Linked DNA regions of Diceros bicornis minor. The protein of the gene in region 3 purifies or fractionates together with the protein of the main gene of each other region. This does not show direct contact. Links are inferred from orthologs where the notes say so. Each region holds a gene or a part of one and is shown on either strand. Other genes may lie near its edges. The genes, in order: LIN7C, YAP1, PALS1 and PATJ.

Region 1 (6,857 bases), on a different chromosome or scaffold from region 3:
TATTTGCAACAAGTTGAGAAAGCTTTCGGGGCCGGCCCCAAGGCCTAGTGGTTAACTTAGGCACGGTCCCCTTCAGTGGCCCGGGTTCACAGGTTCAGATCCCAGGCGTGGACCTACACCACTCATCGGCTATGCTTGTGGTAGCAACCCACATACAAAATAGAGGAACACTGGGCTGGCCCCGTGGCTTAGCGGTTAAGTGCGTGCGCTCCCGCTGCTGGTGGCTCGGGTTCGGATCCTGGGCGCGCACCGATACACTGCTTCTCCAGCCATGCTGAGGCTGCGTCCCACATACAGCAACTAGAAGGATGTGCAGCTATGACATACAACTACCTACTGGGGCTTTGGGGGGAAAATAAATAAATAAACAAAATCTTTAAAAAAAAAAATAGAGGAACACTGCCACAGATCTTAGCTCAGGGCTAATCTTCCTCAGCAAAAAACAAAAGAACAAAGGGGCCAGCCCCATGGCATAGTGGTTAAAGTTCCATGAGCTCCCCTTTGACGGCCCAGTTCACAGGTTCAGAACCCAGGCACAGACCTACACTACTTGTCAGCCATGCTGTGGTGGCAACCCACATACAAAATAGAGGAAGAATGGCACAGATGTTAGCTCAGGGCTAATCTTCCTTGGCAAAAAAAGAGGAGGGTTGGCAACAGATGTTAGCTCAGGGCCAGTCTTCCTCAGCAAAAAAAAAAAAAGAAAGAAAGAAAGAAAGCAAGCTTTCATGCCCTGGCTGCCTAGTTAGGACTTTAATTTTTCCTATAAAGACTAAATTTGCTTAATTTAGCTTTCACTGGGATTTGTCTAGACTCAGACTTCCTATTCTCACTTGAGTGTTCCTCTTTCCCTCCGAGGCAGGAAGTTAAATGAGGAAGCAACAGGTGAAGAGGAGCTCTTCCAGAGGAAGAGTAGTTCTTGATTGGGAAGCCTGGTGGCTTAACAACCCGGCAGGGGCATAAAAGCTAAAGCAGCTCTGTCACGTTGTGCTCACAGCGGCCTCCTCTGAGACCCAGGACAGCGATCACTCTGTGAAGTGAAGGAGTGGGACTCTCTAGGTCTCTCCCAATTCTAACGCTCAAGGATTTACGAATCAGGGAGGGACATTTTAGGGAATCTCTCCTTATACAGTAGCTGATTCTTTTATTTTGTACGTTGAGTACAAATGGGTTGTTGTTAATTAAATCATATTTTCTTCACTCAGAAGTAGCTCCTAAAACTTTTTTCTTCCTTACCTATGCTTCAAATAATTAATGGTCTATAACTGTTCTGATTCCCAGTCCTTAGAATGTAGCTTTTTATTCTTTTCAATTTCTCTGAAAATTTTAGGATCTTCTACTTATTCACGGAATTCTGAAATTTCATGATGATTCTATGTGTTAAGAAATTACCAAGGATAGGGCCGGCCCTGTGGCTTAGCGGTTAAGTGCGCATGCTCTGCTGCTGGCGGCCTGGTCTGGATCCCGGGCGCGCACAGAGGTACCGCTTCTCCGGCTACGCTGAGGCCACGTCCCACATACAGCAACTAGAAGGATGTGCAACTATGACATACAACTACCTACTGGGGCTTTAGGGGAAAAAATAAATAAATAAATAAAATTATTAAAAAAAAAAAAAGAAATTACCAAGGATAGGGAAAGGATCATTCAAAAGGAGCAAAGTAAACAATCAACAATCTCCGTTCATGAGAATAGTTCCTGTTCCTGCCAGGCAGAGTAGAACCATACATATAAATTACCAGTCAAGTAAGAAGCAGGAAATTATGAGCCATAATGAAGAGAAAAATCAATGAATAGAAACAGTACCAGAAATAGCACAGATGCTAGAATTAGTAGATAAGACCATTAAAATTGCCATTATAATTGTATTCTATATGTTCAAGAAGCTAGAGGAAAGACTGAGTATGTTAAGTAAGAACATGAAAGATGCAGAAAAACACACACACTCCTGAATCAAACTGCTAGAGATAAAAACTACAATGTCTAAAATGAAAAGTGAACCAAATGGGATTAAGGGAATATTAGATATTGAAGAAAGGAAGCAGAGAAAAGCTTGAAAAAACAAAATGAACTGAGCATCAGTGAGCCGTGAGATAATGCCAGGCAGCAGAATACACCTGTAAGTGGAGTCATCAAAGGAGAGGAGCCCGAGGATGGGGGAGAAAAAATATTGGAAGAAATAAGGGCGAAGTCTGCATTTGTCTCTCTCCACATGGTACCCTCAGTGCCTAGGAAGGCACCTGGCAGACATGAGACATTTAACAAACACTTCTTGAACACCTTTGTGGCGGAACAAATGACAACAATGAATAAGACATGAGCACATGAGTGCTACTGCAGGTATAAGGGCCATCATGTACCAAAGAAGGGGAGGAGGATGGAGAAGGGAAGCTTAGTGGAAGTGGAGTGTCTTCAGCAGGGACCGGGAGGATGGGTTCAGTCTGAGGATGTATACAGTTTGGAGAAGTGGAGGAGATGAAGGGCATTCCACATAAGAGCAACATAAATGAAGACTTAAAATCAAGAATAAACATGGTTTTGGATATGCCACCTCAACCTGAGTGGTGGTTGCATTCGAGGGATAACGAGAAACGAGGTTAGATAGATGTTAGGGTCAAGTACGCAAAGCTTCAGAAAGAGGAAACAGGGTGAGAAACCACTGAAAGTTTGCGAACAGAATCCTTTGATGATGAAATCAGGGCTCAAGGGGGAAAGCGGGTATAGTGGTGACATTCATGATGGATTAGAAGAAAGCATTATAGTTGGGTGGAAAGGGTGGGCCAGGGGCAACCTGGAGGTTGTTTAAACAATCCTATCATGAAGTCTTGAACACTTGTATATGAAAACACCTAAGATATTATCAACACAGACCAGGGCTTGAATAAATGTTAGTGGAATCTAAACACCGGGCAAATGAATATTCCATTTAAACTGAGGACAAAATTTTTCTTGGTTCATGAAGTTTTCAAAAGTGGCCCTAAGACTCTGTAACGCATTAAGAATATCACGGCTTCATGACATTTCACTTACATAAGATTTTGGATCAGCTTTTTTAAACTGTTACTTCGTGGTGCACCAAAGAGCCTTGTTCTCTGGCTCACTCACCCAGGCGCGCTTCACGCTTCCCGTACTTTCCAATCTCACTCGCAAATAGATTTAGAGGGAAGGCTCCTGTCCTGATTTTTAAAATTAAAGCAACGCTGCCACAAAAGGAGAATTTACAATATCTCAATGACACGCCTGATTGTCACAGAATCCCACAGTTGAAGGATGGAAAAGACCTCGGAGATGGGGCCTTCATGGCACAGATGGGGAAACTGAGGCCGAAAGAGCGTAAGCGCGCAGTCCGGGCTCACAGAGCCGGTAGAGGTCAAGCTGGGACAAGACTCCAGACTCTTCCCCGTGGAGCCAAGGGCTCCAAGCGGGTGGGACGACGTTAAATCCCGAGGCAGGGAGCAAAGGTCGTGAAGGCGGCCCTGTTCAACCTCAGGAGGCCGAGGAACTCAGAACCTTGGAACCCCGGGAGGGACAGCACGGAGCCCACCTGGCGAGCCGGCCACGCCTCCACCTTGCGAGGTCCCCCAAGCCCCCAGGCCCCGCTCCCTTTCTCGCGATACCGCCCGGCCCCGCCCCCCGGCTCCCGTAGGCCCCGCCCCTCCGCCGCGCCCCTCTGTCGTCATTTCCTGTGGGTCTGCGGGCACAGCAAGAAGATGGCGGCGCTGGGGGAGCCAGTGCGGCTGGAGCGGGGTGAGTGCGGCCGGGGCCGGGGCCGGGGCGGACGGAGGGGGTGGAGGCGGGCCGTGTCGCCGGGGGGAGAGGGGCGGCCAAGGCTCCGAGCCCGAGCCAGGCTGCCCCTCGCGCTGTTCCCGGGGACCGCCGACGTCGCGGCGCCCGGCCCCAGGGAGGGCGCTTGCGGTCTCCCGAGTGATGCCCAGACCGCAGTTGGCACGGACCGTCCCGGGGCGCAGCGCGGGTCATCACCTGTCCGCCTCCGCAAGCGCCGCACATGGGCCCCGGGCTGAGAGCCGCGTCGCCCGGAGGCACCCCTCCCACGCCCGGCCGGCCGGACTGCACGGCTGCCCACCTTCATGCACGCGCCCGGCGGCCGCGCCTGCACCCACGCGTCCTGGACGCACAGCGCGTCCCCACAGCACCGCTCCTGTGCACGCACAAACCCGTCATTGCCTTGACCACACCTCACTCCTGTTTGTTTTGGGGTATTTCCTGGCCTTGGTGCCCCTCCCAGGTACGGAGAAGGTGCTTTAAAACAGTCCTGCTGATTTGCTCTTGGGAAGAAGGTTACATAACTAGCCGGAATAGTGGTAGATTGTAAAATGTTTGCAAGTGCAGTCTTATTTCTTCTCTACAAACCCTACAACTGCTCACTGTGGCTGGTTGCTTGCTTTTTAGAGGAAACTGTCAAGGAAAATAAAACTTGTTTTGCTGAGTAATTAGAGACCCAAAAGCCAGTGAGAATACATGGCCATGCCCCTACCAGGGTTCTCTTACAGATTTTCCACATTCCACTCTTTCCTCCGCAGATCCTTTATTTCATGCAATTTCAAGCATCCTTTTGGCATACCAGTATTAGAAGTCGTTGGTAAGAGTCAAGAAGTACAAACTAAATATCTTGAGTACAGTAGTAAACAAAGTATAGGATGGAGATTGAAAATATCTTGGAAATACTAACATTTGCAGTTATGCTCTGAATATTAAGTAACTTCTGCTCCGAGAAGGGAATGCATTTTTAGAATTGTTGTATTTAGAGAAACCTCTTTCCTCATGCCTTCACACAAGCCAATGTGCAGTTAACATTGTTGATTCCTTATGGTGTTCACCGTTTATAAACGACATCGTTACCCCCCAGCCCGCCAGATCATTAATTAAAGCATCATTTTTGACAGAGAAGTAGCAACTTTGGGAAGATTTACTAAGTTAGGCCTGAGACGGTGACATCTTCCTCCTGAGCACAATGGCACTGTGCTTTGTCGATGGGAACAAATCTGTTTGGTGTTAACAGGAGTAGGTGTTTTTCTTTGAAAGCCAGTTTTAGGATTTTAGCATGTTGGCAGTCTTTTGTATTTTTAAGTGCAGAACAAAATGTGAAACTTAACTTCTGGCATTTAGTTTTGGTAGTCATGGCTTTGTTTTTGCTGTTTCAGAGTTCTCTTCAGTTCCACAGTAGAATGCTCAGCATCTTAGTAGGATGAATTATTAGCGGTTGCCATCTAGCAGGATAAGAAAGTCAGATTACATCAACTCTGTTTCTTATTTAGAATTCTGTTTAAACTTTATTAACACTGCCAATAATCCTACAGTATAAAATGAGTGCATATGATTAAGATCCTGAATGTCTTCTAAATTATCATATGATTCAGTGGAACACATTTGAGCACAAATTAGGTACAGCTTGGGTTCAGTAGAGAGTATTTTACTTTTTTCAATTTTTTTGGTAATTGGAAATTTTCATGTAGCTTACATATTGTAACTTTGTAAGTCAAAATAGCTGATGAACCAACAGTCCCCATCCACCAGCCATTCTAGTGGTAGAGTATCAGAATGGGGGAAAGTGTGTTTGCATTGCATTTGATTCACATCAGTTTAAGCTTTTATTACCTGAAATTGAAAAATCTACTTCTTTCTTCACTACGTTTATTCCTAGTTTTTCAGCTGCAAACACAAAGAAGGCCATATTAATTCTATAAAGAAAAAGTTCCAGTCCTTTGGTATAATAGAACTTCTTCCACTTAAAAGGAGGCAAGGAATGGTAGAATAATAGATATTCTAGCCCCTTGGGGTACAAAAATAGGTAAGAAAAACATCAAAATAGAGACAGTCATTAACAGTGTTGTAGCATGACCCTGAATCTTATAAAATGTCTTAATTCGTTAAACACTTATGCTCACACTTCCCAATGCGAATTGCCTAACGTGCTTAATATATCTGTATAAATGTGTACAACCGCTTACTATTTCTTATGATTAATTGGTGCCAATGTAACATAACATTTCTGCTTGCTACATGCCAGACCCTTTTCCGTGTATTTTTTGGTTTAGTTGTCAGGTAATTCTTCTAAGGAGGGTACTGTTATTTCCATTTTACAGTGGAGAATCTGAGACATAGGGAGGTTCAGTAACTTGCCCAAGATCACACCGCTAGTATTGAGATCAGATGACAAAACTAATTATTTTTATTTTTCTATTTTGTAAACACGTATGTATTTGATTGAGCTTGGCTTAATTAAAACATTGTGTTAATTATCCTAAGTTGAAAACAGACCAGTTGATTTTATTCATTTGTACGATTGTTTTATTTTATTTATTTATTTATTTCTGTGAGGCGATCAGCCCTGTGCTAACATCTGCCAATCCTCCTGTTTTTTTGCTGAGGAAGACCAACCGTGGGCTAACATCTGTGCCCATCTTCCTCCACTTTATGTGGGACGCCACCACAGCATGGCCCACCAAGCCGTGCATCGGTGCGCTCCCGGGATCCGAACTGGCGAACCCCAGGCTGCCGCAGCGGAGCACATGCACTTAAACTGCTTGCGCCACCGGGCTGGCCCCTGTACCATTGTTTTAAATGTGTCCCTGCCACTAACTGCACCTGTTATTGAACAGTTCGGGTCTGCATGAATATCGTGTTTTCCTTTGGGACATGAACAGTGACTTCACTGGCACACAGTGTTTTGTACTGTTCAGTGTTTTGATTACTAATAATGACAGGTAAATTTTTATTGACTAAATAGTTCCAGATAATACTTTCAGCTTTTCTGAAGCAATACAATGTTCATGTGTCTATCACATTTGAGCCCCAGTCCTTTCCTGTGACATTTCATATTTTATATTCAATTTTCC
Region 2 (7,029 bases), on a different chromosome or scaffold from region 3:
TGCACTCAGACTCTAAAGAACTGGGTTCTAGTCCAAGTTGGTTAGCGTGACACTGAACAATATCTTAATCTCTGAGAGCCTCAGTTTTCTCATTTGTAAAATAGCTTCTTTCATGATGGAAAAATGGAAAACACATATATGAATGAATTTATATCCAATAGTTTGTGGACAATAGTATTTACAATCCACATTCATACTATTCATAATCTAGTATAGTTATTTAAATTCCTTGATTAGATTTAGGATTTGATCATCAAAAAGATAGAACTTCATAGATTCACATAGGCAAGAAAGGGACACTGGAAGCAATCAGCGGAGGCATTTACTCCTTATAGCCAAGTCGAGTACATTTCTGAATTTCCCATCAGAGTAAATTTGAATTAGGAAATCATTAGCAGAAACAAAAGGCAAACTTACACATACACAACATTTAGTTAAGAAACTTACTAAAAAGTAACAAAACTATAGATTATGAATAGTACGAATCCATAAACTGCTGGATTCACGTGCAATTATTTACTAGAAGTGTAAGTACACTTTTCAGGTGCAATTCTTTTGGGCTTATACATGCCACAAAATGAGGAATTCAATGTCCTATATGTATTATACTTTCAAAACATATTAAGTAACCAGCTGCATAGCTGTGTAGTCTGTAGGGTGCAATGGTAACACACATTTACCCATAATGAGTCCAGACACCCACTTCCAGGGGGAAGAGAAAAAAGCATACCTAAGTCTACTTCTTACAAACTGAAGTGTTTCGGCAAGCAGCTAAATTGTTTTTCCTTCCTCCTCCTTAACCCAGGTTTTTGTCAGCAAGTCAAGGGAGTTTCTCTGAGTTCCAAAACCCCCTTAGTCTGCGGCAGAACATACAACAGGCCTGCAAACAGGAGGGGGAGTGGGAATGGGAGTGGGGGTGATAACTCTTCTTTCCACTCAAGTTACAGCCCGAGTGGACTAACTACATTGCAGTACTTGGAAAACCAATTAACTTTTGGACAAAGTTCCTAGGCTGAAGTTTAGCCTGAAGCAAGTTTTTTAAAAAAAAGAAAGAAAGGAAAACCTACACTAAACAAATCTACTGGGGCCTGTCGGAATGTTAACACTTTCATAATAGTTTCACTTCATTGCTGGATGAAGTTGACAAAATAAGCGAATGTTGTCTATGTGGAACAGCCATGTTCATATCCTCAATAAGAATTAGAAAAGCAATGGCGAGCCTCAACTTAGTCATCGCTTCCCAAACATTAACTTTTAATCACAGTTGAACTAGGCAGGACTCGGCCTATGAGTCAACCTGCAGTGTATTATCAAAGGCTTGTGTTAAAACCAAGGCATTGTAAAGCGCAACTCAGGACCTGCGCAACGTGCACATGTGGCTAGTTTAAAAGCATTTCAGCAGACTGTAAATAATAGTCCACAACTGGGAAACCAACACGTGAACCTACGAAGTTTGATAAGAGCGAGCCTGCCCCAGTTCCAAGGCGCAAGGGAAGCGCGGGAGTAAAAGCTAACTCCATAAACAACTTCCAGGAAAGTCTGGATCCTGTATTCAGAAAGCGCCGGGGCCGCGAGGAAAATAAATGCTTTCGGGAGGGGGAGGGGGAAGGGGAGGGGGAGAAGGAGCAAGAAACTAAATGGACTGGTTGAACCCCCACCCCTAATCAACACTGGAAAACAAGAGAACAATTATTTGACTCCCCAGGAGACTGAAGTGGACCGAGAGGCCCCGAAGGAAAGGGGGCCCAGGGCTCAACTTCACAAACTCGGCCGCCACTGGCAACTCACCCACACACAAATGCCAGAGGGGGGGCCCCTCCCCCTCCCGGCCCGGCGGCGGCGAAGGTGCGGAGCGCGGCGGCGCGCGCATTGTGCGAGCCCACCGCGGCCCGGGCCCAGCTCTCCCCACCCCCTTCCTTCCTCCCCACCTCCCCCGCCACTCCCGCCAACCTCCCGGGAACCCCAGGAAGAAAGAAAGAAAGGAAGAAGGGGAAAAGCACGCCCCCGGGGCTGCAATCGGCAGACAGAAACTCCGAGGGGAAAAAACAAATCTCGGCCCCAGACTCCGGGAGGAGTGGGGAGCGGGGGACCGCGGCCGAGCGGGCGCCTCCAGTCCCTCGACTTCTCCGCGAGGTCCCCTGCCCCCACCCGGCTCGAGCTCCCGGAGCCCCCCTCCCCCGGCCGGCGCTGCGGCCGCCGCTCCCGAGCGCCCCCGGGCCTGGGGCCCGCCCGACGAGTTAGCGGGGAGAAGGGCGGTGAGGTTACCTGTCGGGAGTGGGATTTGGGCTCCGGCGGCTTGAAGAAGGAGTCAGGCAGCTTCCGGAGCCTCATGGGCACGGTCTGGGGCACGTTGGCTGTCTTGGGGTTCATGACGGCGTTGAAAAGCGCCTCCAGGTCGGTCTCCGAGTCCCCCCGGACGTGCACGATCTGGTGCCCGGCGGGGGGGGCCTGCGGCGCCGCCTGGGACCCCGGGGGTGCCTGCTGCCCGGACCCGGACGGCGGGCCCTGCCCCTGGGGGGGCTGCGTGGGCGCCTGCCCTTGGCCCTGGGGGGCCGACTGAGGCGGCGGCTGCTGCCCGGGATCCATGGTTTCTGCCTCCCTCGACGCGCACCCCGACCAGGCGGGCTGAGGGCTCCGCCCGGGCGCCCCGGCTCGTCGGGCCGAGACGGGAGAAGCGGCGAGGGCGGCTGGGCGGCGGGAGCGGCGCTCTCCTCGCTCTCAGGGCCGGGGGGCTGCGCCGCGGCCCCGCATCCCCCGCCCCGGCGCCTCCGCCCCCGCCCTGCGCCCCGGCTCCACTGGTCTGGCGGCTGCGCCTCGGGAGGGGCTGCGAGAGACCCGGACTTGCGGCGCCTGAGAACTTTTCTGCCTTCACTCCCTTGACGGATGCCGGACAGCTAGTTGCCTTTCCCCTCCCCCTTTCTCTTTTATTTCCTTTTCTTGTTCCTTCCTTCCTCCCTTTCTTTTCCCCGGCGGCGGCTGCGCCCGACTGAGACAGAAACTCGCCTCAGACGCCAAAACTAAAGTTGAGAGAACCGCCCGCCCGCCCGAGCCGCTCGCCGGCTCCGCCTCCTCCCGGCTCTTCCTTCCTCTGCGCGCCCGCCCGCACGGGATCCGCGGCCGGCCGCGGAGGGAAACTTTTCCCTGCAAGTTACAACATTCCTGCAGACTCCGGGCCTCCGACGCTCCTCCCGGCCACACGTGACCCAGTCGCCCTCAGTCCCGGACTGCGCCAGAGCTTCCCGGCGCTGGGGCCGAGAGCGTGCCTGGCCCTCCGCGACGGGAGGGCGGCCGGCCCGACGACGAACGTTGGGTCCAGTCTGGGTCGGAACCCTGGCCTCTGCGGAGAACGCGGCCGCCCTTGGCCGCAGGAAGTCCTACCGCCCAGCCCGGCGCCTTCGCCGCCAGTCCTCGGGAAAGGCGGACAGGCTTCCAGCTCGCCCCGGGATGCGAAGGCCCGAAGGAGTCGGGAGGGGACGTGTAAATCCACTTAAACTGCCCTCCCGTTAGCTGTACTTGACCATCCGGCGTGCCAGTGCGGCCTTAAATCCTCAAGGATAGGTTGAAGTTAAAATAGATACCCCAGACTGGCACTGATTTTAATAAGGGTCCGTTTTTTAACATTAACTTGATTTTTTTAAACTTCTTCATATGCAAAAACCCACTTGAAAGAGATAAACGATTACTGTGATTTGAAGCTTTGAGACTAGATGTGTGATTCAATGTAATTTACTAAAAAAAAAATGCATTTTTTAAAAGTGAAAACTTTTTTTAACACTCAGACTTGCAACATGGTCATGAAAAGCTCAACGCAAAAAATCAGTGCTTCACTTCGGTTACAGCATTCCTATGTGTACCTGCCTTTCATCCTCGAGGGGATGGGAGCCTACCCCTCATCCCTGTGCCTGGCACAAGACTGGACTCTGTGAATGTTGACTGAATAAGAAATGGATGGGCGAGGAGCTCACTTGGTTCTGTATATGGCAGTCTTATATGCAAGGAGTCCATTTGAAATCACTCAAGAGCAATGAAAGTTTGTTTTTTAATTCATACATTCTAATTTTTTTAAAAAAACAGCTTTATAGAGATATAATTCACATACCACACAATTGGTCCATTTAAGCAATTTAGTGTTTTTAGTATATTCACAGAGTTGTACATCACTCTAATTTTAAATCCACTAGCCCCTTCTAAACAAATCTGGCTTGTTTTAATGATTTTGTCTGCAATGCTAGTGAAACAGATGTATAAATAGGATTAAGCAAGAAAATGTCCCCTGAGCAAAAAGATAATCTCTTCCTCCAGCCAGGACTTGCCCAGGAGAATTCTGAGGAAGAATCTGTATCACTTGGTGGGGTAGGGTGGGGCCAGGGGAAGAGGCTTCAGACCCTCAAGATTGTAAGGCAAGATTCTAATCAGCTGCTCTGGACTCCCATTTCCTCTGAAAAAAGGAATCAGTGACGCCCATGACTGCTTCTTGGTTTTATCCCCACTCCCATCCCCAAATGTCAAGTGCATTTAACCACAAATGTGTAGGTTCTGGAGTTATAGAGATTTGATTTCAGATCTCAGTTCCACCATTTACGAGTTGTGAGACATCAGACAAGTTACTTATTTCCTGTTTTTTAATTTCCTTAATATTGGGGTCAGGGGTAATAACACCTACTTCATAGGTTGAGGTGTTAAATGAGACAATGGACATAAAGTAAGTATTTAGCCCAGTTTTTGACATGTGGTGAGTTCTGCATAAATGTCAGCTATCATTGTCCCATGTTCACAGATTACTTCACGTGTAGTAACATGGCCTCTCCTTTGCAGCAACCCCCTTTAGGGGCCCTGTTGGCAGTCTCTTCATCTCACATCCAATAATCTATCCACACAAACAAAGACTTTGGCCAGAAACTATGCATTAAAAACTTCAACTGAAAAAAAACTTAAGAACCAGTGATTGAACACCTAGGATTGTAATGGAAGCTGTCGCTTAACTAGAGCATTTACTACTATGAACACTATAATTAAAGGGCTTAGGGTACAGCAGAGGTTGCTTTGTTCAATATTGTTTCACCTGCCATTAAACTGAGAACAAAATTACTTTGATAAGTGGATTGAAAGGCTGTTTCGAGTTATGTTCTGTAAGCATCGCTGTAGCATCAACCAAGATTTTGGAATTTACTATTCCTCATTTATAAAATTTCAATCATGGGTTGATATGGGATAAAGATAACATGTACGCAATCCTTTGTCTCCTCTCTTCCTCTCCAGCCCCACTTTTAGAGCAATTATCAGTTTAAGGAACCTTGAGATAGGGAGTCGCCTTCTTCATACAAAGACCCACCATTATCCTGGATCATTTTCAATATCTGTATAGATAACTATCTCAAAACACTAGTCTTACAATGACTTGCCCTCTCAACTACAGTGGACCCTCATCTCCACTCCACTTTAGCTGCCTGCTCCTGTATCCACACCCTGTCATCCAGAAATACTCCAGTTGCAAAATCCAACAGTTATACTATTCTCTTCATAGCCATTTCGTTCTCTGGTTTCATTACTCACACCTCTCTCTTTTCTACCAACTTATCACTCCCTCCTGTTTTCACTTCTTTCCCAATTCACTTTAGAAATCATAACTCATTGCTTCAACCTCTCATAATCATCTATGCCCTCAATTCCATTGCCCCATGTATTTTAGTGAATTGGATCTATTAAACTGGATAATCCAGTTATCTGTCTTTTCCATTCCAACACCTAAGGCTTATGGCGGTCCGTGCCCAACATTCATTGAAAGCTTCAATCAAAGCTTTTGACGTTTTGTCCAAGTGAGGTTGTACTATCATCCCAGAGATGTACTGACATGACTACAAGAAGGCATTCACTGTAGAACTTTAAACTTTGTCCTATTACCAAATGACACTATCTGTAATGCATTATGAATTAATATTTTAAGTAAATTCTGTCATTATCTGGTGAATAGCACAAATATATTGCATTGTAATCACTGTGTGTTAAAAGTATTAATTTGCTAAGTGTAAGCATTTGAAATGTACTCTAGTTTTATAACCCTCTCTTGGCATTCCGGTATGACTGAATATACTGGGGACTTGAAAAGAAGAAGTATCCAGCCCTCTCCCAGCCTCTGGAAAGTCTAGTTGACACCCAGGTTCCTGGGGACAGCTGGAGGGAATCTCACAGGCGAGTGGATTGGTGCCCCTCCATATTTATCGTCTTTAACCAGGTTTCCTTGTGTCTGCAATTAGCTTATCATTCTCATGATATGGCTATTCTAAACTGTACCACTCTCCTCATCACATTTATTCATCATCTCCCTACCCTTCAGAAAATTATATCACCTCCATCTGCTCAGAGAAATGGAGGTCACCATGCACAAAATCCCTAAATCTTCCTCTGAACCTGTGGAAACATATATACAACCTCACAAGCCCTACCCTCCACAGCTACATTTTTGGAAAGAGCAGTCCGAATGACTGTTCTTCACTTCCTCACCTTTTGTTCATTTACCCTTTCACTCAACACACCTAAAACCGAACTCTTTACCCCTAACCTCCTGCACTTCCTACCACAGACACACCCTCCAAAGCCACATCCTCCTTCTGATTCATTATCTCAGTTAATGGCATCATGATCCACCCACTTGTTCAAGCCAGAAAACTGAGCGTCCTCTTAATTGCCTCCCTCTCATCATCACTTACATCCAACTGGTTAATAACGTGTGTTGATTTTGTTTCAGCTCTCTTAAGTCTGCTGCCCAGCTCCATGTCCATTTCCACTTCTACTTCACTTCCCATCATTTTTTTGCAGAGCTCCAAAATCATGTCCCTGCTTCTAGTTAATGTGGCTCCATCAGACTTCTATTCTGATGTCAGAGTGATCTTTCCAACATAAAAGTCTGATCGTGTTGTAATGTAATTCAGGACAAATTCACATCTCTTAGGATGATAGATAAGGGCCTTAACCATTCTAGTCTTTGCTTCTCTCCTCAACCAATCTCCTGCGACTCACCTATATATGTTC
Region 3 (7,995 bases):
GTCCTTCAACTGGTGGATGGATAAACCAACATCCACACAATGTAATACTACATTCACCAATAAACAGAAAGAACTGCTGGTACACTCAACAAAATGGATGAACACTCAAATGTATTATGCTAAATGAAAGAAACCAGACTCAAAAGGCTAAATACAGTAGGATTCCATCTATATGATATTCTAGAAAACAAAACTATAGGAAAAGACAACAGATCACTAGCTGCCAGGGTTAAGGGTGGGGGAAGGGCTGATGACAAAAGAGCAGCTCAAGGGAATTCTGGGTGCTGGAACTGTTCTGTAACTTGATTTTGGTAGTTGCACAGCCCTATGCATTTGTCAAAACAATTGTACAATGAAAAGAGCTAATTTTATTTCATGATAAAGTTAAAATCTTTTTGAAAGAAAGAAAACAAATATATCATTTCTCACCTTTCCAATTGGCAAAAATTAAAAATATGACAACACCAATCTGACAATTCCAAGTGTGGGCAACGATGACTCATATACTTTTGGCAGGAATGTAAACTGTTACAACTTTAGAAGATAATTTGGCTGCAGCTAGTAAAGTCAAAAATACACATCAACCTATGACCCAGCAATTCCACTTATACCTAGGGAAACCTTCACACCTGTGCTCGAGGAGACATGCACAAGGGTATTTATTAAACACTGTCTGAAATATTGAAAAACTGAAAACAACCCTTCAGTAGGGGAATGAAGTAACTATGGTTAGGGTTATTAAAAAAAAGGAAAGGTGGGGGCCAGCCCCGCAGCCTAGTGGTTAAGTGCGCGCGCTCTGCTGCTGGCAGCCGGGGGTTCGGATCCCTGGCGCGCACAGATACACCGCTTGTCAGGCCATGCTGTGGCGGCGTCCCATTTAAGTAGAGGAAGATGGGCACAGATGTTAGCCCAGGGCCAGTCTTCCTCAGCAAAAAGAGGAAGATTGGCATGGATGTTAGCTCAGAGCTGATATTCCTCACCAAAAACAAAGGAAAGGAAAAAAAAATGCATAAGGGAAAGAAATAACCCTGCTGGCTACATGTATGATTTTGAGAATGGTAACTTACTGGTTTACTTATTTAACAATAGAATATATAGTGAAAAGAGCACTGTACTTGGAATCTGGAGACAAGCATTTTAGCATTTAGGTCCAACTCTGCCACTAACTAGCAGTCAGACTATGGACCACTTAACTCTATAACCTCCCTTTCCTTTTCCTGGAAAATGAGGAGGTTAGGCTATACAACCACTAAGATTATTTCCAACCCAACAATTCTATGATTCAATAAGTTTATAATCAAAAATTATATTCTAAAGCACCTATGTTGAGAAACTATTTTTCCCAGACACCCTGAGATCAAAAACTATCAGAGAAACAGGGCATCTTAGTATATTGATACATAAAATGGATCAAATTTCTTAGTATGTCTGTAATGAACTCTTTAAACAAGATCATAATTCAGAAACAGCATATCAACAGCTCAACCGTATTGACTTGGGTCACTCAGGTAAAACTTACATATCCTCTCTCATTTTAACATTCTAAAACAAGTTAAAATTATTAAAGAGTCCATCTTTACTTGTCAAGTTCAGGTCTGTCTAGACAAAAGTCACTGAAGTACATGGTAAGATTTACTTGATTTTTTTAAACAAAGATAAAATGATGAATTGTTTTTCGTATTTTTGCCTGTTTCACGTATAAAGATCTTACATTATAATTTAATAGGTTCAGTCTGCTACAATTGTTTAAAGAGCCTTTTAGAAGTTGTAATATGCCATGACCACAGAGATCTAGTAAAAAACAAATCAGTAGTTCATAATCCAAAAAAGCTCACTTAATTTCATTACCGTCAATACTGATACTTCAAAGACACCAATGATCAACATGTCATTTGTTCCTATCGCAGAATTTAATAGGTTATTAATTTGTGGTATAATCCAAAAGCATAATCAGGATATCATTAAAACACGATATTACTTTTTTTAAATCAAAAATACTAACGCCTTTCACCTTTTCAGTAAAATTAAACTTTCAAAAATCTTGTTCTACAGGCTTTCCAAATCTAAATTCTTACAATGCTAAACGAGTACGGAAACAAAACACACACTATAGTCTATTTCTAAAAACCTCGTAGCTATCAGATTTTAATTTTAGCGCCAACTGCCAAGAAAAGCCTTTGGACGGAAACCTGAATTCCATACACATTCCTGTGTGTCAATCAACTAAGCAGAAGGTGAGCTATTATTATTAGGAAGTTACATAATTTGCCCCCAAGATTGTTTAAAGCGCCTTTCATTAAATGCAGCTTACAACAATTTAGAGGCTTTAAAATTCACCTTGCGAATTTAGAGTAAATTATCAGAAACCATTACGGAAATCAGGTTTTTCTTTAAAAGTGGTCACAAAGAAGTAGAACTGATTTTTTTGTTTCAAGAACGCAATGAGCAGCTGAATACCGGGAGCTGAGTCAGGCAGAGAAACGATGACTACATTCCCTCTTCTAAAGGAAAGTGTGCGCCCGAAGATTCCCCCACCCGGCCTGGAGGAAGTCCCGGGAGTCGCGAACTCCGGGCGGGGGCGCAGAGGGCAGGCGCCTCCCTACCGCCCCCCTACAACTCGGGCCGGGCGGGCGGGAACCCCGCCAGCCCAAGTGGGTCCCTCGCCAAAGCGGGCACGGCCAAGCAGCGTTCCTCCGTGGGACAAAGGTTGGGCTCACGCCCTCCGCAGCCGGCCGGGGCTCCTGCTGCCGGGGGCAGCGGCGGAGCAGTCCCGGTTCCCCGGGCCGAGCTCCCAGTGTGGGGGAGGGGGTGAGCCCGGCCGCCCCTCCCCCTCGGCTCCCCGGGACCTGTTGATTAGGATCTCCACACCGAGCCACCGCCAGTCCGCCTCCTACCTCCGCGCCACGGCGGCCGCCGATCCTCCGCCCCGGCTGCTCCTAAACACTGCAGGAAGGACAGCTCCCAGCGGCACTTAAAATACCAGATAAAGAATCCAGAAACTCCCGGATTCCCCACCTCACAACCCTTGGTCTCCGCCCCCCCCAACTGCCAGTCGCCGCCGTCGCCGCCGCCGCCGGCGACTCCACCTCCAGACCGCGCGAGACCAGCCCCCGCGGCCGCCGCGAGACCGCGCACGCGCCCCCGGGACTCTGGCGCAGTGGGCGCGCCTATCCCAGTCCCTGCTCAGCGCGCCCCGCCCGCTGCTAGCAGAGAGGCTGGCGCGGTTCGCCCAATGCCGAGCCGGTGCGGAGAGAGGGCCCTGTCATTGGTCCGCTCTGGAGCTCCCGAGAGGCAGGTCGCGCGCCTCTAACTATATAAACCGCGAACTGGTTCGTGTGGAGGCACGTTTCCCGTTGAGCCCTGGGGGCTGTGTTGTGTAGAGACTAAGTTTCCCTGGGACGTGGTGGGGAGCATGCTACCGCTCTACAGCCGTCGACTCTGCTCCCCTTGAATGACCGTCAGGTCCTGAAGAAAATCTGATTCCCCGTGAGGCGACTCCTCATGTCCTGTGAAGCACGCCACACAATCTAACATTTGTTTGCAAGAGAACCATGACATACTTAAACACCTGGATGTGTGTAGTGTCCCACGGAAGAATTCTCTGCTACTGCGGAAGACTCTAAAGCTAGCAGCTAGGACCGAGTTCTGAGCACGAGAAAAGGATGCCAGGGGCCACAGCTGCTTCACAAAACTCCAGTGAATGGATTTAGACTTACCTGGGCAAACCCACATCCAGTGCAGTGAAATCCAGGTTCTCCAGGACTCCCTAGAAACTATTAGCCATATTAAAAAAAAAAAAAAAAAAAAAAAAATGTTAGTGTGTGTGTCACCTATTTCCTAAGTTTTTAAATGCATAAAGTAAATAACAATTCAAGAGGCTTCATCTAGCTCCTCAATGAATTTTCTTTCCTCTAGCTCAGGTTTTCTCAGCCTCAGCGCTATTGACCTTTGGGCCAGATAGTTCTTGGTTGTGGGGCTGTCCTGTGCAGTGTAGGACTTTTAGCAGCATCTCTGGTCTCTAACCACTAGATGCCAGTAGCACCATTACCCCCATTTGTGACCATCGAAAATGTTTCTAGATGTTACCAAAGGTCCCCTGGCAGGCAAAGTCACCTCCAGTTAAGAACCACTGATGTAGCTGTTCAAAGAAATGGGCTCTTCAGGAAGATTGTCTCTCTTTACCTTACCTTCCTTGCTTGGCCCTAAGCGGTTTTACAAAACACCCCCACCCAAATGAACCCTCCAGCTACCAGCATTGCTTCCCCAGCTGCTTGGACTCCTCTGTCACAGGACCCCACCCTAATAAAATGATGATAGCTATCTGTGTGAGATAGCAGCTCCTGATCTCAAAAGATATGGAAGTTCCTTTGTAAAATGCTATACAAATGTTAGTTACTATTTTTACTTCCTGAGGGTATTTTCATTTTAAAAGAGGGTGGACCCTATGGCAAATAAAACATTTATTCTCTGGTGAATAGAGCCATTCCCAGAAGCCCCAAATCACTCAAATAACTGGTCTTGTGTGCGAAAATTGAAGGGTGGCCGAACGAGTGGAAGGTATAGAAAATGGAGGAAAGGCGATTGGATTTGAGTTTTAGCTTTGATGCTAACTAGTTCTGTGATGAGTGACAACTTTCCTGGGCTTTAATTTTCTCATGTGGAATATAATGAGTTAATTACTTTTTTTTTTTTTTTTAGTTTTAAGATTCTAGTAGCCTTTGCATATGGAATCTAACATGAATAGCATAGGGAGTTAAGGAAATATAATATTCATCCCAAAATAGAATGAAATGGGTAATCTGTGGCATAAAACCCCCTGTCAGAAGAGTTGTTCATTCTAGTCACAAGGCAGTTCACCCACTGAGTCACCTGGCAAATTTGTGACTAAGTAATATTTTGGGTGAGTGGTGAAAGCTACACTGTAAAATTGAATGTAAGGTAGAGAGTAACCATAGTAAATATCATCCTTCTTCCTTCCTCATCTTGGCATCTGCTAAACCCATCATCTGCCAACAGCCTCTATCGTGTGTTTATGTAATAAAATGTTGTGCTATTTTATTTTATTAAAGGCTTGGGGGAAATATATTAATATTGCATTTCAGCCATTTGCAACAGGTCTGAAATCTCAGTTTTCAAGATTCTGCCATTCACAATTGTATGTGAAATCCTTAACTAAGGCTATTATATCCCTTTGGTTTGATCGCCTCTATGTGAAAGCCCAGTCTTCACAGCTGAATTAATACCCTGATCACTTAATAATTGTATGAACCAGATGATCAGAGATAATGTAAATTAAAAGAAGAATACCCACTGATTCAGATATGAGAAGTTATGAAACAACAAATTAGTAGGTACATTAATTATTAAATAAATATCTAAAAAAAAATTTTAAATACCAAAAAAACAAAAAGCAAACCATCAAATCATGAACTAATTTTTAAATTTAATTGTGTTTAGTTATTATTTTGATGTTTTAGAGTACTTGTTAACCTTTCATAAATCTAGCTAAAAATATTGTGTCTCTAAGCTAAGAAGGTCAGGCAGTTGTTGCCATGAGGTATAGGAGGTCCCGCCGTCTGAGGTTAGTTAGCGTCAGTGGCATTCAGTACAGGTTCAGTATCATCCAACTCAATTCACTTTAATAAATATTCACTCATTAACTCCAAAAATATATACTGAGTACTTCCTACATGCTAAGCACTGTGCTGTAGGGAATTGAAACAGGTGTCAGCCCCTGTCCTGTAGGAACTTATAGTAAGGTGGGGAAAGGGACGAGTAAGGTCCATTTTACCTATAGGTAAAATACAAGGGAAAGTATGGTAATTGAAAACAAGATGCTCTGTGGACTCAAAGAAAGATAACATCTTATACTAGGAGAAGTTTTACTATCTAATTACAGAGGAGAGGGACAAAGAAAAAGCTACTAGAAAAAGACCCACAATAATAGGAAAACCAAGATCTAATACATGGCTTTAGAAAGATAGACATAAGACGTTTTATTTGGGGCTGGCCCTGTGGCCTAGTGGTTGAGTTCGGCACGCTCTGCTTCAGCAGACCAGGTTCATGGATTCAGATGCTGGGCGCAGACCTACCTCACTCGTCAGCCATGCTGTGGTGGAGACCCACCTACAGAATAGAGGAAGATTGGCACAGATGTTAGCTGAGGGCGGATCTTCCTCAAGCAAAAAGAGGAAGATTGGCGACAGATGTTAGCGCAGGACAGATCTTCCTCAACCAAAAAAAAAAACAAACTTTTTATCAATTTGAATGACTGAGTGAAGTACACAGAGAAAAGCATGGGCTTGTTATGGGAACAGCAAGTGGTCAACAATGACTTCAGGGTAGGATATTCAATATTTAGGATGCTAGTCATTTATCACAGTTTTATTAGTACTCTTCTTGGCTGGTCCTGTGGTAGGCTGGGGATGTGTAGACTAATAAAACATGGTCCAAGAGAAATTCTCTTTTGGAGAGAGGAGGTAGGCAAATTTGGAGCTTGGAAAATTTTCTAATGAAGGAAAGATCAAGACTGAATGCCAAAAGAAAGGAAATCAAGTTCGTTCTCCTTGAAACGGGCTATGAAATTACCCATATTTTTCCTCACCAAGCTCCCAATCAAATCTCTATCCTGTTTGTGACACAAATCTCAGCTGCCACTTTAATTCAGATCCATAGGTGAATCCCTGTGACTGGGTCTCGGATGGTGTCTGTGCTGAACTCCAAAGAGTTGAACTCTGATGCCTCTTCTCTCCTCTCTTGGCCTTGCTCTGAGATTTAACACCACCACTGCTTCAAAACAGCCTTTGTCAAGGTCACCGGTTAGAGCCACTTTGTTAAATGCAAAGGTCGTTGTTCAGTCCTCATCTTCCTTGACCTGCCAGCAGCCTATGATGCCTTTGAGCACTTTCTACATTTGTCTTCCGAGCTCCTGAAACACTGCTATAGCCTCTCTTCCTACCCTTTGGAACTTCCTTCTCAGTCTCCTTTGTTGATTCTTCTTTATCTTCCTGAAGTTGGAATGTCCCAGGGCTCTGAATTCAGTATTTTACTTCCCTCTATCTGGATTTGAATTCCAGATTACCACTTGCTAGCTGTTTGATCAGAAGAAAGTCAATTTCTCCAGAGATTCAGTTTCCTCATTACAAATTGAGGATAATAAAAGTAGCTACCTCCTACAGTGGTTGTGAAGACTAAGTGAATCTCCATATGCCCAGCACTGTATGCATTAACTATCATGTTCTTTATCACTCACTCCCTGCATGATTTCCTCTGGTCTCAGTGACTTTAAATTCCATCTATACGCTGTCAACTCTAAATTTATCTCTAGCCTGAACTTCTGCCCTAAACTCCAGAATCATATATTCAACTGTTGGCTCAGCATCTTCATTTGAATTTCTAATGAGCAGTACAAATTTAACATGTCAGAACTTTTTGTTTTTGTCCAGTTTTCTTCATTTCAGTATATGGTAAATGCCACTATTCCAGTTGTTCAAGCTTTCTTTCACACTGCACATCCAATCCATCAGGAAATCCTTTTATTTCTTTCTTTTTTTTTTTTTAAGGTTTTCTTTGTTTTATAATTTTATTTATTTTTTCCCCAAAGCCCCAGTAGATAGTTGTATGTCATAGCTGCACTTCCTTCTAGTTGCTGTGTGTGGGACGCGGCCTCAGCATGGCTGGAGAAGTAGTGCATCGGTGCGTGCCCGGGATCCGAACCCGGGCTGCCAGCAGGGGAGTGTGTGCACTTAACCACTAAGCCACCGGGCCGGCCCGGAAATCCTTTTATTTCTACCTGCAAAATATATCCAGAATCTAACCGCTTCTCACCAACCCCACTGCTAAAACCCTACTCCAGGACACCATCATCTTTTGCTTGGATTACTGCAATAGGCTCTTTCCCACCCGTATTTTCTCTTCTCAATCCTGTAGCCAGAGTGATCCTGCAGAAATAAATGTGAGGCCAACTCACTGCTCTGCTCAGTAGTCTCTGGCCCA
Region 4 (7,684 bases), on a different chromosome or scaffold from region 3:
TGAGCCACACATACAAAATTTTAATTTTTCTAGTAGCCACATGAAAAGGGTAAAAAAAACCAGGCAGGGGCCGGCCCCGTGGCTTAGCGGTTAAGTGCGCGCGCTCCGCTGCTGGCGGCCCGGGGTTCGGATCCCGGGCGCGCACCAACACACCGCTTCTCCGGCCATGCTGAGGCCACGTCCCACATACAGCAACTAGAAGGATGTGCAACTGTGACATACAACTATCTACTGGGGCTTTGGGGGGAAAATAAACAAATAAATAAAATCTTTAAAAAAAAACAGGCAAAATTAATTTTAATAATATATTTTACTTAACCCAATGTATATAAATTATCATTTCAATCTATAAGTAATATAAAAAATTAATGAGGTATTTTAGACTTTTTTACAGTAAATCCTCAAAATCTGATGTGTATCTTACATTTACAGCACATCTCAGTTCCACCTAGCCCCATTTCAAATGCCCAGTAGTCACATGTGCAAGCAGCTAACCATGTTGACAGTGCAGTTTTGTTTTCTTTCTTTTTTTTTTTTTTTGAGGAGGATTAGCCCTGAGCTAACATCCAGTGCCAATCCTCCTGTTTTTGCAGGGGAAGATTGGCCCTGGGCTAACACTAGTGCCCATCTTCCTCTACTTTATATGGGACACCGCCACAGCATGGCTTAACAAGCGGTGCGTCAGTGCGCACCCTGGATCCGAACCTGCGAACTCCGGGCCACCGAGGCAGAGCGCGAGCACTTAACCACTATGCCACCAGGCCGGCTGCAACAGTGCAGTTTTAACTATGACTTTTCAGAAAGATCCCTGCACAGCGTTTTAACAAAGGCTTTGTTCATCAGCTAATAGGTCTCTCTGCCTTTTATCAAAGTAACTGAGTGAGAACACTCACAAACTTGAGTTCTACTCAATAAAAATAGCACAACTCCATAATTTTATCAGAATTAAACATCACAGTGGAGGAGCAAAAAGTGGGAGAATGATGGCTTAGAGTTTACAAGACACATTCTTGAACATACTTCATTTCAACCTCCCCGAAACTCAGTGAGGTAGATTGTTTACAAATGGGAAAACAGAGGTCCAGAGTCAAGTCACTTGCCAAGACGGACTTACATGGCCAGTGGGCCCAACTCCACATCTCCAAACTCCACAGACTGCACAGCTGTGCAAACACAAACACTAAGTGGGCTCGACATCTTCAGCAGGGCCCTATGCCGATGACTAAAGGAAGGGCACTGACAGGCTCTAAACACCTCTCTATTTGCTCCAGACCCTACGATAAGGGCTTTTATAAAGCCCTCCAAATCTACACAACATCTGAGTATGAAAAAAGCACAGCAATGGTCAATTAATCTCAAATATTAAGGTGGACTAGTCCTGTGTCTCAAAAGATTGACTCTACTCTCAAGATGAGCAAAGTCTTAAGTAAACAAACAAACCCCCATTTTGGCTTCCCCAACCTAAAGTTTTTTGTTAAATATTTAACAAAGAAAGTAAATCCACACTGCTTGGTTGTGTAGCTTAAGGATAATTATTATATGCTTTTAAGTAAAAATGCAATTACAAGGATTACTAACGCTGAACCACCATCTCAGAATCACAAGGTTCTGAAGGTGAACTCACAAGGGACAACATACAGATATTTCTTAAGAACACTGACGGCAAGACAATATACGCCAATTTTATTTGTGGTTATTTTCAAGAGTAGGTGGGTTTGTGTGTGCTTTTAGTTCCTTTTCTGAAAATTCTCTCCAATTTTTCTACAATGAATGTATGTTACCTTTATAGTCATAAAAATAATAATAAATACAAGGCTTGAACTTATTAAGGCATCTCTAAACAGACGACAGCTAGGCCGACCCTGTGGCTTAGCGGTTGGGTGCGTGCGCTCCGCTGCTGGCGGCCCGGGGGTTCAGATCCCGGGCATGCACCAACACACCGCTTCTCCGGCCATGCTGAGGCGGCGTCCCACATACAACAACTAGAAGGATGTGCAGCTATGACCTACAACTATCTACTGGGGCTTTGGGGGAAAAATAAATAAAAAAAAATAAACAAACAGATGAGGGCTTACTACAATTTCTTTCCAACTTTAAACAAAACTATTTTGATGCCAAGATCTGTTAGCAAGGCCAAATCTCTTCAGAACTCAGTTTACAAATTCTGTCCACAAAGTTCCTTCCAGCTCTGACATTTATTAACTTTCAAATTATGTTAAATTTTTCATAGTCCTTATAAACGCCGTTAGGGGCCTAGAAACATCAAGCTCATTTTAGTTAGAAGTCATGACCTCACCTAACTTGTTCTGATGCTGCAGAATGACCCCATCCGAGCTGTACCCCACCCCGCCTAGCTCTCCTTCAAGCAAGGCGTGCGCGAAGGGACTGGCGTTAGCGGAGCCCAGACAGCCCGGGAGGTGGTGTTTCCTCCGGTGTGCCCAGGTTTCTTTTTCTGCTGGGCTCGGGAAGGCTCCTCCCTCCGTGGGGAGGCCCTGGACTGTTCGCACCCACCGGGGCCCCCTGAGTGCAGTCGGGGGCGCCCGCTCCCTCGGGCACCCGGGTCAGCGGCTGCGCCGGGCCCAGGACAGGGGCAGCGGAGGCCGGGCGGGGGGCCAGCCGAGACCGAGCGGCGAGCCGGCCTGGAGGGCAGGCGCCGAGGGGCTGGAAACGCCTCCCGACGCAGTGCCCCCGGCCGGAGAAGAGCCTGCGCTGGGCCGTGCCCGGGAGCGGGGCCCGGGCCTGAGCGCCGCGACCCCCGAGGCCGCCGTGACCATCGTGACCGCCGGGCCCGAGGCCGGCCAGCGTCCCCGCTCCGTCCGGCTCCGGGCGGCCAGGCCCCGACCTGTGCAGACGCGCGGGCGCGGACAGAAGTGGGCCGAGCGGGCCGAGCTGGGCACCGAGGTGCGCCCGGCGCCCGCGTCCCCCGAGCCCCCTCCCTCCCCCGGGCGCCCGGCCCCGCTTTACCTGGTCCGGCGGGCGGCGGCGGCGGCGGCGGCCCCAGTCACCTGGGCGGAAGTGCCGGGCCGCCGCCTCACCTGAGGCCCTCCCCCGCCGCGTCCCTCCCTGCCCCTCCCCTCTCCCCTCCCATCCCGTCCCCTCCCCCTGTCCTCCGCTGTCCTCCTCCTCCCTGTCCCCTCCCTCCCCTCCCCGCGCTCCGTCCCTCCCCCCCTCCGCCTTCCCCTCCCCCTCCTTGTCCCCTCCCTCCTCTCCCCTCCCCTTCACCCCTCCCTCCCTCCGCCGTCCCTCCCCGTCCCCTCCCTCCCCTCCGTCGTCCCCTCCCCCGCCCCGTCCCCTCCCCCGCCCCTCCCCCTTGACCTCTCCCTCCCCTCCCCCTTCACCCCTCCCTCCCTTCCGCCGACCCCTCTCCCTCCCCGTCCCCTCCCCCCTCCCCTCCGTCGTCCCCTCCCCTCCCCTGGGCTGGGCGGGCTCTTGGTCCTAGGCCCGCGCAGGTGGCGGCGGGCTGCGGGCTGGGAGATGCGGCAGGTAGAGCGCCAGGCGGAGGGGGGCCGGCTGCCCAGGTGTGAGGGTCGCCGGGAGAGCGAGCGCCAGGCCTGGAGAGGGAAGGGGGGCGCGTGGTCCCGTACCCCCTCGGTTCCTGTACCCGCGGACCCACCTGAAGATCTACGAAGTGTCACAGGGGTGTTGTTGCCTTCCCATTTCGCCGAGCAGGTGAAGATGGTCCAGCTGCAGTGACCTCGCTCTGCCCGGCCAGTTGGTGCACGGCCTCGTCCACTGGGAAGAAGCCGCGCACCTGGTAGGTTAAAGGATTTGCCCAGAGTTTGCGACCCACACGGATCTTCTGACCCTAGGTCCAGTATTGACTTCACTCTGCATTTTAACATTTTTACTCTTGATATCCTAACTTGACTTGGAGAAAGATCTGTGTAAAACCTACAATGGCATTGTTCCACTCTCTTTAATGTAACGAGAATTTTGATGACAGGCGGTTTACTTTGTCTAATACAGTGCACACATTAATGATAAAGAGAATCAATCTTCAAGTATGTACTCACTGAATAAATGCAGTGTGTGTTAAGCACTGTGATTGACTAAAATGTTAAAAATGGGAAGACGAGGCATGTATACAAAACAACTACAACATGAGGACATCAGCTGTAAGATCATACACTTGGCACTTTGTAGTGTTATTGTTGGTTCCCTTGTTTTAAACGAAACATCACTTGTTAGGCTGGTAAAAAGATACACAATTTCAGCACAGTCCTGCTTCTCAGGAACTAACAAACTATTGAGGGAAATAAACTTATAAAATAACTTAAATTACTAAATAGAATAAAGCTAAACTTTCAGAAAATAGAGATCTGTTATGCTTGTTGACAGCATCTATTAGGACTTAAAGAGGTCTTAACAGGTGTGTGGGATTTGCTTAACATAAAATGGGGAACGAAATGCTTCCCAGGTCAGGGGGCAGCACATAGGTGGAGACCAATGATCTCAAAGCATCACCTTCAAACACTGGGTCTCTTCTTACTTTGACATTTCATGATGGTTATGAACAGATTCCCCCTTCCTCAAAAAATAGTGTGATTTTGAACTGACCATGAAACAAAGTTCAAACTCCTTTCCTTAGTATTCAAGGCCCTCTAAACTCACCCCTTCTTGCTGACTCTTCAACCTCATCTGCCACTTCACCTCTCCAGGATCTGACTTTGGCCACACAGGTCTGCTCCATGTCCTAGGAATCACCACACCATGCTGTCCCCTTTTCAGTGCCTGGGATGTCCTGGAAGGCCTGCCCTGCCTCCTGGGCTAGACTCAAGTCTCCCTTCTTGAGAGAAGGTGCCCCCCTGACCACCCCAGCAGACACCTCTCTCCACCACATTTCATCTGATTTTCTCCACATCATTGTGTTGTTAATTTTATGTGAGCTTTCCTTTGGCTCTTACCTAGAATTTAAAATTTTTTTTGTCATTCAAAACATTTTTTTAAGATAAAGCTTACTCTGAGAATGTTTACCTCTAAGAAACCTCAAGAGTGCCTTATTCATAGAATGATGAAGATGAACAAAATTTTTAAGAACACATCTCTGAAGTCAGAAGATCTGAGCTTGAATCCTGAATCCACCGTTTCCTGAAATACGTGACTTTGGCAAGTGACTTAACCCTTGTAATTCTCAGTAGTGAAACTGGGAACAGTGCTCACTTCACAGGGTAGTTTTGAAGGTTAAATGCAGGAATATGTGTACTGCACATACCTGGCACAGAGAAAGTCCTCAATAAATGAAGCAGCACATAGAGGGAAGGAGCGTGACAGATACTGGTGACAACAAGGGGACAGTCAAGAGAAGCAGTAAATAAGGTGAGGCCAGGGCAGATGGTAGAGGCCTGAGAATACACAGAGATGACTAGGTTCTGAGCCTTTATCCTTCACATCTGAGAAATTAAAGAACCACTGAAAATGTATGAATAGGATTTTCATTTTGGGTTTTTTAAACATGTAATGATTAGCGTTTATTTATTTTTAAAAATACTTTATTTTTGTAGAGTAGTTTCAGGGTCACAGCAAAATTGAGAGGAAGGTACAGAGATTTCCCTTACACCCCTTGCCCCCACATGCATAGCCTCCCCCTTTATCAACATCCCCACCAGAGTGGGACATCTGTTACAGTCGACGAACCTAGAGGACACATCGTTATTGCCCAGAGTCCATAGTTTACGTTAGGATTCACTCTTGCTGTTGTACATTCTGTGGGTTTGGACAAATATTTAATGACATGTATCCACCATTATAGTATCATACAGAGTAGTTTTACTGCCCTAAAAATCCTCTGTGCTCCAACTATTCATCCCTGGCAACCACTGATCTTTTTACTGTCTCCAGTTTTGCCTTTTCCAGAATGTCATACCACTGGAATCATACAGTATGTAGCCTTTTCAGATTGGCTTCTTTCACTTAGTAATATGCACTTGAGATTCCTCCATGTCTTCTCATGGCTTGAGAGCTCATTTCTTTTAGCACTGAATAATATTCCATTGTCTGGACGTACCACAGTTTATGTATCCTTTTACCTACTGAAGGACATCTTGGTTGCTTCCAAGTTTTGGCAATTAGGAGTAAAGCTGCTATAAACATTCATGTGCAGGTTTGTGTGTGGACATAGTTTTCAACTCCTTTGGGTAAATACCAAGGAGCTTAAATAGGATTTTGAGTAAGATTTTGAATATGATATAGATTGGGTGTTTTTTTTTAACGAAAGATTAATGTGGAAGCAGTGTGAAAAATGGATTGACAAAGTTGGGGAGAGGGCCTAGAATCAAAAAGTGGAAGGAAGCAGCCGCTATGGCAAGGTACAGAGGAAATGATGAATACCTGCAATAGCGTGAAGATACAGGATAAAAAAACGAACACTTAAAAATATCAGTTGCTTCCTGATTGGAAAAAGGGATTCAAGAACAAGGAGAAAACAGAAGGGCAAAGATGAGTCTCGGTTTTGAACCTGATAAAAGGACTATGGTGGTGAAACTGAGAAAAGCCAATTTATTCTGTTTTGTTTTTCTGAGAAGCAGGACTGTGATAGTTTTAGATCCTACATTTGACAATCAGGATGAAATCTACTTGGCACAGAGTGGGCCTCATGAAGTGATGGGTCAAACAGTTTAATTGGACTTTGGCAGTTAGGCTGGTGCACCAAGGAGAGGACACATCCGAAATGCTTGCGAGTCAACAGCATGGATGTAGTAGAATTCCCTATGTGCAGAAGACCAACAAACATCTGCCAGAGCCCTGATATTGCGAATTTATCACCAGAGAAAAAATTGCTCATCGCAGTCAAATAAAAAAGAAATTTTTGGAGGGTAACAATCTTTTATCTCTTAATGTTTCTGCCCTAACCAAACAAGAGTCAGGTTGGTTTCCCCAGAAAGCTTTGCTGTAGGCAAAACCATCTGTTAATGTAATTAGGCGTATGCGGGAATTTTAGGAACGGAAAGATCCAACGTGCAGAGCCATCGAATCCCAGAGGAAGCTCTGCTTTAGGCTCCACTGGTAATCCTCACCCCTAATGTTTCTACACAGTAGTTTCCTTATTGGGTTGTGCTACCCCTGTCCTTTGCTTTCTATAGAATTTCTATAGAATTTTTATGTGACAAAGAAATCTGGCATTGAAAACACATCTAGGATTGAGATTTAAGAACTCTTACTAAATTAAACAATGTAGTGATCATGTGATCAGAGATTATGCTTGCAAAGAAATAAAGTAATATATTTTACTGAACCATGAGAAAATAGATTAAGGGGCCATCAGAAGAGAAAGTAAATTTTTAATATGCCGTCAGTGTAAGAGTCAAAAATCTTGTGTTGTTTCTTTTTTTTTTTTATTCATTTTATTTTTTTCCCCCCAAAGCCCCAGTAGATAGTTGTATGTCATAGCCACACATCCTTCTAGTTGCTGTATGTGGGACGCGGCCTCAGCATGGCTGGACAAGCGGTGTGTCGGTGCACGCCCGGAATCCGAACCCGGGCCGCCGGCAGCAGAGCGCGCTCACTTAACCGCTAAGCCACTGGGCCGGCCCTTGTGTTGTTTCTTTACTTTTATGAGGAGACTCTCTTGTTCTTTTCAGTTTATACATTGTAAGACAGAATGAAGATAATCACTAGAACCATAAAAACAGATTTTGCAATGGGAGTAATTAGCAAAGCATAAGCATTTTCAAAGAGTTAATTGTTA

Evidence for each region.
Region 1: the proteins of PALS1 (region 3) and LIN7C purify together in Homo sapiens (affinity purification with mass spectrometry; 3 studies listed by BioGRID and IntAct, counting the BioPlex papers as one, with this or other methods). This does not show direct contact. The link is inferred for Diceros bicornis minor from reciprocal best matches to the Homo sapiens genes PALS1 and LIN7C.
Region 2: the proteins of PALS1 (region 3) and YAP1 purify together in Homo sapiens (affinity purification with mass spectrometry; 6 studies listed by BioGRID and IntAct, counting the BioPlex papers as one, with this or other methods). This does not show direct contact. The link is inferred for Diceros bicornis minor from reciprocal best matches to the Homo sapiens genes PALS1 and YAP1.
Region 4: the proteins of PALS1 (region 3) and PATJ purify together in Homo sapiens (co-immunoprecipitation; 5 studies listed by BioGRID and IntAct, counting the BioPlex papers as one, with this or other methods). This does not show direct contact. The link is inferred for Diceros bicornis minor from reciprocal best matches to the Homo sapiens genes PALS1 and PATJ.

Annotation. Positions count from the first base shown.
Region 1 is NC_080746.1:83,526,440-83,533,296, reverse strand, and holds the start of LIN7C (protein lin-7 homolog C), read left to right. Parts: upstream 1-3,851; 5' UTR 3,852-3,927; coding exon 3,928-4,246; intron 4,247-6,526; exon of another isoform or gene 6,527-6,718; coding exon of another isoform or gene 6,719-6,725; intron 6,726-6,857. UniProt on the Homo sapiens protein: Plays a role in establishing and maintaining the asymmetric distribution of channels and receptors at the plasma membrane of polarized cells.
Region 2 is NC_080746.1:32,841,618-32,848,646, forward strand, and holds the start of YAP1 (transcriptional coactivator YAP1), read right to left. Parts: upstream 3,019-7,029; 5' UTR 2,587-3,018; coding exon 2,266-2,586; intron 1-2,265. UniProt on the Homo sapiens protein: Transcriptional regulator with dual roles as a coactivator and corepressor. Critical downstream regulatory target in the Hippo signaling pathway, crucial for organ size control and tumor suppression by restricting proliferation and promoting apoptosis.
Region 3 is NC_080763.1:15,944,307-15,952,301, reverse strand, and holds the start of PALS1 (protein PALS1), read right to left. Parts: upstream 3,018-7,995; 5' UTR 2,895-3,017; intron 1-2,894. UniProt on the Homo sapiens protein: Plays a role in tight junction biogenesis and in the establishment of cell polarity in epithelial cells.
Region 4 is NC_080743.1:1,463,625-1,471,308, reverse strand, and holds the start of PATJ (inaD-like protein), read right to left. Parts: upstream 3,012-7,684; 5' UTR 2,965-3,011; intron 1-2,964.